Stegostoma tigrinum: one gene and its partner. The protein of the gene in region 1 purifies or fractionates together with the protein of each later gene. This does not show direct contact. Links are inferred from orthologs where the notes say so. Each region holds a gene or a part of one and is shown in the gene's direction. Other genes may lie near its edges.

The links. The genes of interacting proteins can lie anywhere in the genome.
Region 2: the proteins of huntingtin-interacting protein 1-related protein-like (region 1) and picalma fractionate together in Homo sapiens (co-fractionation; 3 studies listed by BioGRID and IntAct, with this or other methods). This does not show direct contact. The link is inferred for Stegostoma tigrinum from reciprocal best matches to the Homo sapiens genes HIP1R and PICALM.

The regions. Positions count from the first base shown.
Region 1 is NC_081379.1:26,516,363-26,524,125, forward strand, and holds the start of huntingtin-interacting protein 1-related protein-like, read left to right. Parts: upstream 1-4,575; 5' UTR 4,576-4,807; coding exon 4,808-4,900; intron 4,901-7,763. UniProt on the Homo sapiens protein: Component of clathrin-coated pits and vesicles, that may link the endocytic machinery to the actin cytoskeleton. Binds 3-phosphoinositides (via ENTH domain).
Region 2 is NC_081359.1:53,569,563-53,577,169, forward strand, and holds the start of picalma (phosphatidylinositol binding clathrin assembly protein a), read left to right. Parts: upstream 1-4,182; 5' UTR 4,183-4,655; coding exon 4,656-4,785; intron 4,786-5,360; coding exon 5,361-5,444; intron 5,445-7,607. UniProt on the Homo sapiens protein: Cytoplasmic adapter protein that plays a critical role in clathrin-mediated endocytosis which is important in processes such as internalization of cell receptors, synaptic transmission or removal of apoptotic cells.

The DNA.
Region 1 (7,763 bases):
AATGTACCCATAAAGTATTGTGATACAGTATTGCATGTGGTTTTCTGTTCATATGCTGTGTAAAGATTTGCATTAATGTGACTGTTTTCTTTGCAAGCTGAATATTCACTTTTTCCTTGTGTTAGATTTTTATGCCAGTCTCCAACCTTGCTAGAGCAGTAAATTAACTTGGTCAGAGATGAGAACATAAGATCATATTTTAACCCCAACCCCAAGCAGTAGCTCCATCTGAAAAGAAAATCGTGCTGAGAAACCTATTGGCAAAGGGTGTTTGTCTGTAATTGGGGAATGAAACCCGTAGCAGACATACAGGCACTCACAAGGGAGCAATGTGTTGTCGTCCATTTCTCACTGCCAGTAAAACTCCTGTCTTCTGGTCCAAACCCGCATTATCATTGATTTCTAAGCCAACAGTACTGTCTTTCATTCCCTGTCAGGCGTGTTTTTATTGGCACTGCCAACAGCATTTTCTATGCTAGGCTGTAATTCTCCAAGTGTGTGGGGACTGTATGGTACTTGGAAGGTGAAAGCCTTACCAACTGAGAAACCAATATTTCACAGGGAGACGATGATGTGGTAATTCAGAACCCTGGATTAATATTTAGTGACGTGGGGCCATGACAGATGGTGAAGTATGAATTCAGTTTAAAGAAGTCTGGAATAAAACGCTAGCCTAATGGTGATCACTGTGATTGTTGTAAGAAAAGATCTGATTCACTAAAATCCATTAGGGAAGGAAACTGGCCATCCTTACCTGGTCTGGCTTACGTATGACTCTTGGAATTCTCTCCCTCAGGGCATTGTGGATTGCAACACTTCAAGAAGGTAGCTTATCACACCTTCTCAAGGGCACACAAGAGAGTCAATAAAATGCTGGTTAGTTAGTGATTGTCCACATCCCACAAGTGAATTTCATTTTTAAAAAATCCCATGGCAACATGGTTGACCTAACTGTCATCTGTGCAATAAATGTGCCCCGAGCCAGCAATGCACACAAACCATGAACAACCTTTTTTAAAAATTGTGATCAATGGATGCTGATCATGAAATTATAACTCACCTGATCTTACCCAGTTTGGACAATGATAATTTCTAAGACCTGGTCGGGGTAATTAAGTGGATTTAATAAGCTAAATCAAAGCAACCTGGAAGTTAGGGTGCGTGTGGCTTAGTACAGCATCAGTCTTCAATCTCCAGGTCAGTTTTTTCCTGTAGCAGGACCTCCAACTAATTTTCATGCCATTTATAAAGAAAACACTTACATTTAATAGCTTTTATATTTATTTGTTCTCTTTTTTTGTTGATCCTGCTGGTGTGTTGTCAGAAAACAGTAAAATCTCAAGTTTTTTTCATTATTATTCTTTGCCATAAAAAGCTTTCAATGCAGAAGATTGTCCTGCCAAGCAGAAACCCTGAAGATTGATGTGAGAATTGGAAAGAATTAGATGGGTTTAAGGCAGTTACTGCTTGCAAAATAATCAGAGACAGCATTTTGAATTTGTATTATTTTGAGTGTACAAAAATGTACTTCCATAGAATTATAGGTTCAGCTGACTTTTTTCAGACTTGACTGTGCTGATGCTGAAGCTCATCAATTTTGCTACTTGTAGACATGATTATTCCAATGCACTCTGGCTGTAAACTTGAGACCATGCTAAACTCCCCTTAGAACAAATCCCGTTCTCCTATCACCTCTATGCCTTCTGACATACATTAGCTCTAAATCAAGCAACACTTTAATTTTAAAAATCTCATCCTTGTTATCAAGTCTCTCCATGGTCTTGCCCTTCCTATTGTAACAATCACCTCCAGCCCCATAACCCTCCTGGATATCTGCAGTCAACTAATTCTGGGCTTAAGCAACCTAGATTTTGCTTTCTCCACCTTGGATGGCCATGTCTGTCAGCAGTCTACTCCATAAACTCTGGAAATCCTTCCCAACATGTCTCCAAATTTCTAAATTTATTTTCTCCTTTAAGACACTCCTTTAAACCTATCTCTTTGACTAAACACGTTCTCATCCACCCCAATGTAGCCTCATGTGATTCATTATCCAGATTTGACTTTATAAAGCTGCTGCGAGCATCTTGAGATCTGTTATTATGTCAAAGGTGCTATTATAAATAGAAGTTGTTGCTGACTATCTTCAGTGCTTAGTGGGATTTTGATAATTTAGCAGGTCGAGTGTTACACTAACATTTTGACGGGAGGCTTGATGATCAATGTTTCGGCCTATTAATTTTTAGGTCTATTTAACTTTGAAATACGTCATCCAAGGGCATGGGTGTACGATATCTTTTTCAAAACTGTATGATCCCATACAACTGCTCAAATACAATGATCAGTTCATTTTCATAACTTTCATTATTAGCTAAACCATGGGTTCAATCTCTAAGAATGCATTAGCAGTAAAGTAGTACCTGCAAGATATTTGAATTGAGTTTAGACTCTTTGAGATGCAGGTGCTAAAATTGTGGTAACTTAAAGTACGAGTGTTATATAATAAAAATGAATGGACTTGATTTTGAAACTTTCTTTATGAGAATGGAACCAAAGATGACTAATGTCCCACTACCTTATCAGTTTTTCTCACTGTCTCCTCTGAAAATGGAAAATTACAAGCCTATTAGCCTAACCTCAGTCATGGGTAAGATTTTGGAGTCCATTGTGAAGGATAAGATTTCTGAATATTTGGAAGTGAATAGTAAAACAGGGCAAAGTCAGCATGGTTTCATCAAGGGGAGGTCATGCCTTACAAATCTGCTAGAATTCTTTGAGGAAGTAACGAGCAGGGTAGACCAAGGAGCGCCAATAGATGTTTTCCACCTGGACCTCCAGAAAGCCTTTGACAAGGTGCCGCACAGGAGACTGCTGAGTAAGATAAGGGCCCATGGTGTTACAGCCAAGGTGCTAGCATGGACAGAAGTTTGGCTGTCTGGCAGAAAGCAGAGAGTGAGGATAAAGGGGTCTTCCTCAGGATGGCAGCCAGTGACAAGTGGTGTTCCACAAGGGTCAGTGTTGGGACCACAACTTTTCACTTTATGCATTAATGATCTAGATGGAGGAACTGTGGGCATTCTGGCTAAGTTTGTAGATGATACAAAGATAGGTGGAGGTACAGGTAGTATGGAAGGAGGTGGGGAGGCTGCAGATGGATTTGGACAGGTCAGGAGAGTGGGAAAAGAAGTGGCAGATGGGGTACAACGTGAGAAAGTATAAGGTCATGCACATTGGTAAGAAGAATACAACCATGTACTATTTTCTAAATGGGGAGAAAATTCAGAAGTCTGAAGTACAAAGAGGCTTGAGAGTTCTAGTCCAGGATTCTCTCAAGGTAAACTTCAGGATGAGTCAGTATCAAGAAGGCAAGTGCAATGTTGGCATTTATTGTGAGACAAAATGAATGTAAAAGCAGGAATGTACTATTGAGGCTTTATTAGGCCCTAGTCAGGCCACATTTGCAGTATTATGTGTAGTTTTGTGCCCCATATCTCATGCAGAATGTACTGGCCCTGGAGTGGGCTCAGAGGAGATTTTTGAGAATGGTCCTAGAAATAAGAAGCTTAACATATGAGGAATGTTTGAGGACTCTGGGACTATACTCATTGGAGTTTAGAAGGATGAGGGGGGATCTAATGGAAACTTAGAGATTACTTAATGGCCTGGACAGAGTGGATGTTGGGAAGATATTTCCATTGGTAGGAGAGACTAGGACCCGAGGGCACAGCCTTAGAGTAAAGGGAAAACTTTTTAGAATGGAGAGAAGGAGAAACGTCTTCTGACAGAGCGTGGTGAATCTATGGAATTCCCTGCCACGGAAGGCTGTGGAGGCCAGGTCATTGAGTACATTTAAGACTGAGACAGATAGGTTGTTGAATATCAAGGGGATTAAGGGTTACAGGGAGAAAGCGGAAGAATGGGGTTGAGGAACGTATCAGCCAAGATTGAATGGTGGAGCAGACTTGATGGGCCGACTGGTATAATTTCTGCTCCTATGTCTTATGGTCTTAAGACATTGATACCTTATTTACATACAATTTCACTGCCACCTGCTTCTTCTGAAGTGGAATGCAATTCATCTTAATCATTATTCTAATGAAAGGTATTATAATTATAAATTAATTGCAATATAAATAATTGTGTTAACAATATGAATATTATACATAAAATATTATAGAAATTCTTAACTTATAATTAAAATAATATTGCCTTTCGTCAGAATAATGACCGTGTAGGAAAGGTGTTGGGTACTATAAGGTAAAGTATGATATAAAATGTATAAAATATACTTACAAACTATTTAAAATAATTATTTTAATTCTAAAAATGTAGGGGCGTTTGAATGGTGTAACATAATTACAGACAAAGCTACAAGGAACAGAAGACAAAAATCTTCTGCACGGTCCCCTGATTTCTCAATTATTAATATGGGGATCAAACAGAATTGTTGTTACGTTTACCCTTAAGAATAAGCCAAGAGTATTTTCAATCCATTTTATAAATAACATTGTTACCTTCCGCCCCCACTATCTTGCATGCAGCGTACGTGGACGTTGTTTCACAAGCTGTTAGCTGCCCCTGTACCACCCTGCAGTTGGCAGCATTGACCGTCAGAGCTGGGCTGACAGTCAGTCAGCCAGCCGTCTTACGTTTCCCAGCATGCACACAGACTGTGTGCTGCTGCCTGTGAGTTGTTACTGAGTCCGGACACGATCGGGATCGGGACTGGCGGGGGGGTCACACAGGAGCTGCCCATTCAAACACTCAGGATCAGCGCTCAGCAGAATCCCTTGTCCGGGTGTCCACCATGAACACCATCAGACAGGTCCCGGCCAAGGTGCTGCACCGCCGCTCCGTGCACAGTCTGGAGGCAGAAAGAGAGCAGTTTGACAGGCAGCAGGTAAAGCAAGTCATGTATACATATATATTATCTATGTATCAGTGCTATTGAACCAGTGAACCTCAGCACTCCTTACTGTTCTGCTCTTTACTCAGCTTTGGCGTTGGTTCACGATCTCTTTCTTCATATCGTTTTCATTTTACTTTGAAAACCTTTTGTTTTATTTTGGCTGTGGGAATACGAAGCTGAGTTCTTAATCAGCGCCTATCCAGGAAGTGCAGGACCTTATTACGACCCAGATAGCAACTGAATGCATTCCGTTTTAAGATGGATTTTGCCCATTGTACAATCGCTGGGTCCTAATCATGAATGGCACGAATCGGCTGAAAGTGACACTAAGCAGCGACTGAAACAGACAGCGCGGCTTGTTTATTCCGATCGATTTCCGTAAACCTTGATTCGACATGGCGAGAGAACCCCTCCCCCCAGTATTTACACCTTTGATCCTGCAAATAATGACCTACACGTAATTCCCGGAATTCTGCTTTTTTTTCGAATCTATTTGCCCGGATTCGAGACCAACTGCGTTCAAGATCTTTGCATTTAAAATAAGCAGCCGACTATCCCCTCTAACCCGAGATGCTGCCCACCCATCTCCGCAGTAACACGGGCCTCGTTTATTTCCCCTATTATGTTGCTTAATTGGGACGGAATTAATTCTAGGAGCGACTGATGAAAGTAGATCAACTCAGATTTGCTTATTACCCTGTGGCTCGCTCGCTCACCAGACACTTTTTTTTCTAAAGCAGAGCCTACTCATTCTATGTTAGCATATGTCTCTATTATGAGTAAAGGCAATTGTTGCTGTATTGAGGTACACTGCTTTTTCTTTAAACTGGGTTGATAGCCAACGCTCTCGATCTTGCACTGGGAAATTGAAGATCTGGACTTGACCTGTCATTGAATTAATATTCAAAATGTAAAGAGCATTTTTGAACAATATAACTGGCTCTTAAAGGTCAAAGGCAGTCTACTGGGTCTAATACTGGATCGTTCTTAATGAAGAAACATAAATGCACTAAACCGGCCAGTTAGAAAGAATCTGGGAAAACGTGTTGATGAGCTTCTGTCACAGCCTCTGGTGTACGATGTCCATGTTGTGAAAGGAATAGAAATCGAACCGTGGCCTTTTTTTCCATATTTTTGACTCCCCTGTGCCCTGTGCCCTCTGACCTCTGGAGTTTTGTTTTCCGCCGATTTTTCTCCGTTCGCGTTTTCCTGAAGCTGCTTCTAGCTGAGGTGATAGGTGGGTGTCAGCCTTCTTTGTTTCTTTTTACGTTGGAGCTTAAACGTAGGTGTTAGTAACTGTTCAACTGTGGGCAGTTAAGCTGAGCGAAAACTGTTGTCTCACAATGTCTATGCAAACACGTTTATCAATGGAGTCGCTGAGATTCTAGATGTTCTACAATAATGCCATGCCTTGCCCTAACTGCAGATCCATAAGGGATAAGGGAATTGAGCACAGATTGGGAATCAAAGTTAGTATCAATACAACCTTATGTTGTTTACTCACTAGGCTGATGGAGTCTAAACTTGCCATATTATCCTCTGAACTTTAATAGATTTGTCAGTTTAGAAAGAATTCTTGATGTTGTTGTCTAATTGGTGGATACTTTGAAAACCTGTTGTGTCTGTAACGTGAAGTGTACATAGATTAATGGCATATTAGTTTAGTTTTTATATGTGGCTTTTGTCGTATAAAAAGCTGGTGAAGGTCAAATGCCTGTGCATTAAGCTATCTGGCTCTATTCTGTTGTTCTAAAGCTCTGAACACAGAATTAGTGACTGAGGAAGATAACTTCCATTACAACATCGTCACTGTGTATGATATTGCAGGACAACCATGGTAGTCTCTATTTTCTGTAGAGATTTGAGGGGACTGGTGTAGAAGCCTTTTTTTTAAATGGCTGGGACTTGCTGTTAATGCATTGGTGTGGCACTATATAGAATAAAATCCACGATATGTCACATTATCTACCATGATTTCTCTATTATGTGGTCCACCGATTAACCTTGGGTACAACAGTTGTACTCATTCAATATTGACAATTTTAGTCCTGAAACCAATGAAAATGAAGCCTGCCATGTTGCTCTTGCATAGCAAATAAAGGATATTAACGGTGTATTTATCATGATGCCTATTGCAAAGATTTTATAAGAAAGAAATTGATTTTAACATAACAGTGAACAAACAATATTGGATCTGGTGCAGAGTAACAGACCAGAGCAATCTAACCATAAGGAAGCACACAAGTGATTTAAAATAGGATTGAGTTTGACATTGTGTGTGAAAGGAAGAAGCACAAACTAATGGTTTAAATTTGAAGGTATGTTTTAAAGGGGTGACTGATAAATTAACTGACTAAACAATTAATGGACAAACCTACATGCAACCAATGGGGAAAAATTCAAAATATGTTTGGTATGATACAAAACCAATACATGTCTCTGAAAGTATGTGAGGTTTTACAAACATTGTCAACAAATGAGAAAATAAAGTGTGCCAAGCTTAAGAACACCTTTTGGCAAGTGCAAGTAATGTGGAAATCCAACCAATAGTTGAAGGTAACAAAGGGGCAAAAGGATAAATAGAACATAGAACAGTACAGCACAGGACAGGCCCTTCAGCCCACGATGTTGTGCCGACCATTGATCCTCATGTATGCACCCTCAAATTTCTGTGACCATATACATGTCCAGCAGTCTCTTAAATGACCCCAATGACCTTGCTTCCACAACTGCTGCTGGCAACGCATTCCATGCTCTCACAACTCTCTGCGTAAAGAACCCGCCTCTGACATCCCCTCCATACTTTCCTCCAACCAGCTTAAAACTATGACCCCCTCGTGCCAGCCATTTCTGC
Region 2 (7,607 bases), on another chromosome or scaffold:
AGGAAAACTGGGATTAGCAAGAATGGTGATAGGCCCTCTGTCTGTAGCAGATATTTAATGACAGCCACTGGGCATGATGCATTACTGATGTAGCCTCTCCATTGTCCTGTGCTGCTGCTTTAAAAAAAAGATACCTGTTCTTGGTGAATTTCTGCTGTGTTACTGCCAAAATTTGTTGGCACTCCCAACAGTTGGCACTAATTTACCGACTGTTCCTTGATCATGGAAGGACTAGGCAACTGTGCAGGAGTGGGCATGTTGTGCACTTCTGCTTCATCAAAGTCATCCTTCCACCTAGTTTGAAATTGTGGACCACGTAATAATCAGAGCAGAGATGAGAGGGCTAAATGATTCTGGTGAAACTTGAACTAAACGTGATCAGTTTCATTTATGACTTTTGATGACATTATTGATGACTGCTTCCATCACTTTACTGACAATTGGGAAAAGGTTGAGAGGCGATAACTGGCATTTAATATTTATCCTGTTTTTATGGATAAGGCATACATGATTAACACTTCATGTTCTGAGACAAATGTTTTGTCATCGTAATACTGGCATAGTTTGACCAAAGTGGATGGATATAATGCATATGTCTTTATTGCTACAGCCAGAAAATTATCAGCATCCAAATCCTTTGAAATGCCCACTGTAGTGATTATAACAAGGTCAGCCAGATGTGAACTCATAGAATATGAGTTCCCTCATTGGGGCTGTTAGTCTGGTCCAATCAGGGATCCTTCGCTGACAAATATAAGCAGGAGTGTCAGAGGTTCTGTTCAGTCTGAGAGCTGGCCCTGAGGAAGTCATATCAGTGTCAAGCACTATGCATGTGGAAATAAAGGGTCACTTAGTGATGGGGGATACCAGCTTCTGTGGAGTTATTGCACCCAGTGTACTCATTTTTCTTAATGGTACATGGAATGAACCACCTTGGTTGGATACTGACACACCATCATATGGTGGAAATCTGGGAAATGTTATCTCCTTGCTATGTTTTGGCTGAAAACACTCAAACTCTTTATTCTTACATCTTACACTCACAAGTTGATAGTTACCATAGAGTTGTAGAGTGCTAGAGTTACACACTAGAGAAACAAACCCTTCGTCCAACTCATCCATGCCAACCAGATGTCCTATTCTGATCTTGTCCAATTTGCTGGAATTTGGCCCAAACCCCTCTAAAGCCTTTATGTTCATTTATCCATCCAGATGCCTTTTAAATGTTGTAATTGTATCTGTCTCCACCACTTCCTCTAGCAAATCATTCCATACATGCACCATCCTCTGCATGAACAATTTGCCCTTCAGGTTCTCTTTAAATATTTCCCCTCTCACCTTAAACCTATGCCCTCTAGTTTTGGACTCCCCTACCCGAGGAAAAAGACCTTGGCTGTTCACCCTAACTATGCCCTTCATGATTTTATAAACCTTTGTAACATCACTCCTCAGCCTCCAATGCTCTAGAGGAAAAGAATCAGCTTCTCCCTATAGTTCAAGCCCATCAATCCTGTAAACATTCTCAAATCCTTTCTGAACCATTTCAAATTTGACAGCAACCTTCCTGTGAAAGGGAAAGCAGAATCGAATACAATATTCTAGAGATGGCCTAATCAATGTTCCGTACAGCTGCAACATGATGTCCCAGCTCCTATACTCAATGCGCTGAACAATAAAGACAAACGTGCCAAACACCTTATTTCCTACCCTGTCTACCTGCGACTCCACTTTCAAGGAACTTTGCACCTGCATTCCTAGGTATGTTTGTTCAGCGACACTCCATAGGGCCCAACCATTAACTGCGTATGTCCTGCCCTGGTTTGCCTTACCAAATTGCAACACCTCACATTTATCTAAATTAAACTCCATCTGCCACTCCTCTGCTCATTGGCCCATCCAATCAAACTCCCTTTGAACTCTGAGGTAACCTTCTTCACATTCCATTACACCACCAATTTTGGTATCATCAGCAAATCTGCAAACCATTCTCGTATATTTGCACCCATATCATTTAAATAAATGATGAAAAGCAATAGACCCAGCACTGACCCTTGCGGCATACTGTTAGTCACAGGCCTCCAGTCTGAAAGACAACCTCTACAACCAGCCTCTGTCTCCTACTTCTAGCCAATTTTATATCCAGATGGCTAGCTTTTCCTGGAATCTATGTGATCCAACCTTGCTAATCAGTCTACCACACAGAACCTTGTCAAATGTCTAGCTGAAGTCCATGTAAACAATGTGTACTGCTCTACCTTCATTGACCTTCATCACCTTTTCAAAAAACTTAAGCATTAGTGAGATATGATTTCCCATGCACAAAACCATGCTGACTCTCTGTAATCAGTCCTCGCCTTTTCAAGTGCACGTAAATCCTTTTTCTCAGAATCCCCTCCCACAACTTATCCACTACTGAAAAGAGGCTCACTGACTTGTAGTTCCTTGGGTTTTTCTTATCACCTTTCTTAAGCAATGGCACCACATTAGCCAGCCTCCAGTCTTCTGCCACTTCACCTGTGGCTGTCAATGATGTGAGTATCTCAGGAAACGTCCCAGCAATCTCTCCCCTAGCTTCCTACCATGTTCTGGGATACACCTGATCAGGTCCCAAAGATTTATTTATCTTAATGCATTTTTAAGACCTCCGGCACCTTCTCTTCTTTAAAATGGACGCTTTTCAAGATGTCAGTATTTATTTCCCAGGGTTCCCTAGCTTCCATATCCATAGTTGAAATTACAATTGTTCACAGGGTTCCTGCAGCTTGATCCTGACCATTCTTTACTGTATGTGTTAGGCTGCCAAAGCTCAAATAAACTATGCCAGGCCCTTTAGTAGAAAATACATATTTGTGGGAAATGGATCTCTTGAGTAGGTTTTCTCAATCTGATACCCCTAACATCCTCGGGGCTTCCTTGAATAGGTTTCATGTACATATGCAAGGTCAAGAGGGAATCAAGGGCTACGAGCAACAGGAAAGAAAGTAGAGCTGAGAATCACCATATCATCCATGAGTTTATTGAAAGTTTGGGCATTCTCAATGAGCTGAAAAGCCTACTTCTGCTCCTACGTCTTATGGTCTTGTACTTATTACTATCATGCAATAAACCAGCTTGTTAACAAAGAACGGTGCCTCTTCTGCATGGACACTTCATCTGATATAACCTCTACCAGTGATCATTTGATAGGTCCTTGATGAAGTATAGACAAAGGGAATTGATGGTAGTGAACCATCTCAAAATACTCTTAATTTGAACCACACAATAGCAGAGTTGGCAGATATCAGAAGATGCCAGTTGTTGTAATCAGGTTACTCTATAAGCACAATTCTCTCCATGTCCATGTTATCTTTACCATTCTGAATTCTCCAAACTACCATCTGTGGGTGAGATTTCACTCTTCCCAACCCCAAATTGAATTATCACCAGTTGTTCTATTGGGAAGTGTGCCCAATATTGTACATATAACTTACATTTTAAAAAGCAGTTATTTTAAAGTACTTTAAAATTGAAAGTATAATTATATGAAGAATCTTTGCTTAGTACAACTGTTAAGAGAGAATCTTAGCCAAGAAGTGGGAAAGATTGGAGGATATCAGTCGAAGTGTAGGAAAAACAACAGTAATGATGAAATACTTGTCTGAATTTCTAAACAGAAGACGCACTTGTGTTACAGGTGATCAGTGGACTTTTTTTTAAATGTAATAGGATGGTGGGGGTGGCTCAGAAGGAAAATAAAATTGTAAACCCCTGCTCTGGTCTGAGAATTGTTAACAGAGCCAGTGTTTCAAAAACTGTTAAACGAGTTTTTAGGCAATTTCATAAATCTGATTGGGTGTAAGCTTTCACAATCGCAACGGATGATTTTATTTGCGAATCTTTTAATTTCTGAATACAAACATGTTTTCCATTCGAAACAAAATTTGCGCTCGTCTTAGCTGCTGAGTTTAAGTATTCCATTTCAGCTGTCAATTAATTCCACGAATAAAAGGCAAACATTTGAAAATTACTTAACATGGAAAACAAATTCAACCAGCTAATCATTTTGTTCTCGAAAATAAGGTAAGCCTCTTCAAGACAATCATCTTCAGTGTGCGATCTGTATTCTGCACGAAGCTGATCGTGTGCAAAAAAACTGTACACGTGTAGACAGATGTGCATAAATCCAGATGCACGAATGGAAACGAAAAAAAGACTCTCATCTGGCAGAGGCAGACAAGGGAGGGAGGGGCAAATTTTGCTGGAAGTAACAGTGGTGTCAGGCTGGGCTGTGGGAGGAAAATTCTGGGACTGGCTGATGGGGCTCAGACTGGTACGAGGTTGGTGGATGATCACATGATAACAATCCAGTGGGTAGGAGCCTGGTTCAAACCCGCCATTTTCCTGGAACTCCTGCTCCTTTTCGGCAGAGGAAGAAAGAGGATTTGAACCCTGGGTGGCGACAGCTGTCCAAGTGACCGCCTGTAAATTAGAAAAGCTTGGAGCAGCCCGTCCGCTCGGGGCTTTTCCTTCCTGGGTTTTCAGTTTACTTTTTCTTGTTTTTGGTTGTGTGTATTTTTATTTCTAACCTTTCTTCTTGATTTGCTTGGCCGGGGTGGCTCCGTGAGAGGGATTTAAACCCCCTCTGTGCGTGAATCTGCTGCTGCCGAGGAGGGAAGATGTCGGGACAGAGTATCACGGACCGTATTGCTGCGGCTCAGCACAGTGTCACCGGCTCGGCCGTCTCTAAAACCGTTTGTAAAGCCACCACACACGAGATTATGGGCCCCAAGAAGAAGCACCTAGATTGTAAGCACTTCCTTCCACATTCTCAGAGTGAAAAATGAAAGCGTGTCCCGACCCAGCCGCTGCCATCCTGCTTCCTGGGTTTAAATTTTAACCCGAACAGAATGAGATTGAAGCTGGTGCCGCTGCCGTATGTGTTGTTCGGGGAAAGTGTCTAGTTTTCTTGCGGTACCAGGCCCCAGATAACGCCCTTGGCCTTGATTTTGCCCATTGGACTTTCGGTGAATTGATGCGTGCATGTTAATTATTTAGTTACTCCAGATTTTTTAAAATGAAGTGCATTTTGCTGGTCGGGACTTTGTGGTAGGAGGGGCCGGGGGTTAAATCTCAGGGGCTCGCATTTTTGCGGTCGTCTTGTGATGTGGTCACTGTGGTTATACATCTGAAAGCTACTAAAGACAGAAGTTACAGCTCACCTCATGTCGATGTTATAGTGAATCAGCAATTTTCTTACTATTGCAGTGATTTTTAAGCAAGTTGGCATATTTGTCAATTTTATTGATGCAACAACGGATTTATTTGATTGCATTTAAACTGTAGTCTTGGTTATATTAAAGCGGGTAGTGTGCCTTCTCTAGCAGCTGGCCTACTATTTGGGAGTGCAGCTGGGTTTGGTGCTTACCAGATCACTCAAGACCCCAAGAACATGTGGTTGTCTTTAAGTGAGTAATCTGATCACACTTCTAATGAGTTTGTTTGTATATTGTTTGTACTTTTTATTGTTTGTACTTTTTACTGTTTTGTAGGGATGGTGTGTGCATTTATAATATGCAAGTTTAAAAGAATAACTTGCTTCTGTCTTTGTACGATATTTTTTGCAAAAATATACTTTATTTGTAAAATATCTATAAGTAGGTTATAAATCAGTTCAAATTGGATGTAACAGAAAATGTAACAAAATATCATATTTTGCAGTCGAGCATTTATACTCTTATTACCTAATTCCAAATGCAAAATTGGAACAGACACAGAATTTGACAAGAACTATACATATCTATTTAAGTACACAACCCAATGGGTCCAGTAAATGGACAGCCCCTTGGTACAGCATGCCAAAAAGAATTTAGACACCGACCCTCTCCACAGCATCTTGGTGACAGCAGCTGCAAGCCTTAGTGCATCCCTCAGCATGTGGTCCTGGACCTTGGAATGCACATGTATGCAACACGCAGCCGAGGACAACTCTTTGTACTGAAAGGCCAACAGATTTCAGGCAGACCAAAGAGCATCTTTCACTAATTTGATGTAACTGGCATGGGAATACATTATGAATGGTAGGACCCTGAAAAGCACTGAGGATCAGTGGATGCTTTGGAGAGGGTTCAGAGGAGGTTTACCAGGATGCTGCCTGGACTGGAGGGCTTATCTTATGAAGAGAGGTTGACTGAGCTCGGTCTCTTTTCATTGGAGAAAAGGAGGAGGAGAGGGGACCTAACTGAGGTATACAAGATCATGAGAGGCATAGATAGAGTTGATAGCCAGAGACTATTTCCCAGGGCAGAAATGGCTAGCACGAGGGGTCATAGTTTTAAGCTGGTTGGTGGAAAGTATCGAGGGGATGTCAGAGGCAGGTTCTTTACGCAGAGAGTTGTGAGAGCATGGAATGCGTTGCCAGCAGCAGTTGTGGAAGCAAGGTCATTTAAGAGACTGCTGGACATGTATATGGTCACAGAAATTTGAGGGTGCATACATGAGGATCAATGGTCGGCACAACATTGTGGGCTGAAGGGCCTGTTCTGTGCTGTACTGTTCTATGTTCTATGTTCTATGTTCTATTTAGACACTATCTTCAATTGCCTGGGAACTTTAGTTTTCTCATAGACTGAAGCAGTGCATAAGTGTCCCATATTGGAACTAGCTTGCTGTTTCTGAACATCAGTCTTTTATCATGTTGGCTTTTCTAAAATGTACAGCTCTTGGTGTTGCCTGAATCCAGTACAATACTGTGATTCTGTTTCACTTCCTTCAACATAATTTTTAATGTGAGCTCTGCTGAGCAGCAAGAATGCTTTTTTTAGTTACTGTTTCTGAAATACGTTGAAGAGATCTGAAACATTTTTACTCCCATTCGTGAGAAGTATTTGAAAGGAAATTATAAACTGAGTCTGGAAACTCAACCCAAGCTGCTGCAATAAAGTGGAGAACTAAACAACATTAGAAATTTTAAAAATTGACTTCTAACTTCCAGTGATGGATCCTTCAGGGACAACAGTGACCAACAGCTATGCTGCTCGGGTTTCTATATCTAGTTTATTTTAAATAATTTATGCTGTACAGTAACTTTTAGGTTTTTACATTTTAGTGTGATCAGAATGCTCTTTGCTTCCAGGCTATGGTAGTCCAAGAGTTTTGAGTTTGAAGAGGTAAATGAGCAAAATTGATATCATGGGAGAAAATCAATTTAGTAGTTTTTAGTCTTTTTGTTTTTGAAAGTAGTGACAGTTTTTGACAGCTGCTACAACTTAACATCAGGTGCTGGGAACCTGTTTGTTTGTGTCAACAATACCTGGAAAGCATTTCTTTGGAATATTGACTTGCGTGGAGAGTGGAAGTTTAACCTTTTTTCTCCTTTTTGTAAAATATGGGCTAATTGGATGAATAGTTTCCAATTTATTAATCTCTTGGTAGTTGACCTGAGTAGTAACAAAGTCTTAAACAAGTGAGTTCTTTTATTCAGAGAATGAAACAAGCAAAAAGATTATAAATTCATTGGTTTTCTAATTGATCTACAGTTTGTGGTCCTGAAATTCCTTATTCACTTTGTAATTTGAAACATGAAAACATTTGCCAGTTTTGATAATCAAAAATAACATGCCCAATTTTAA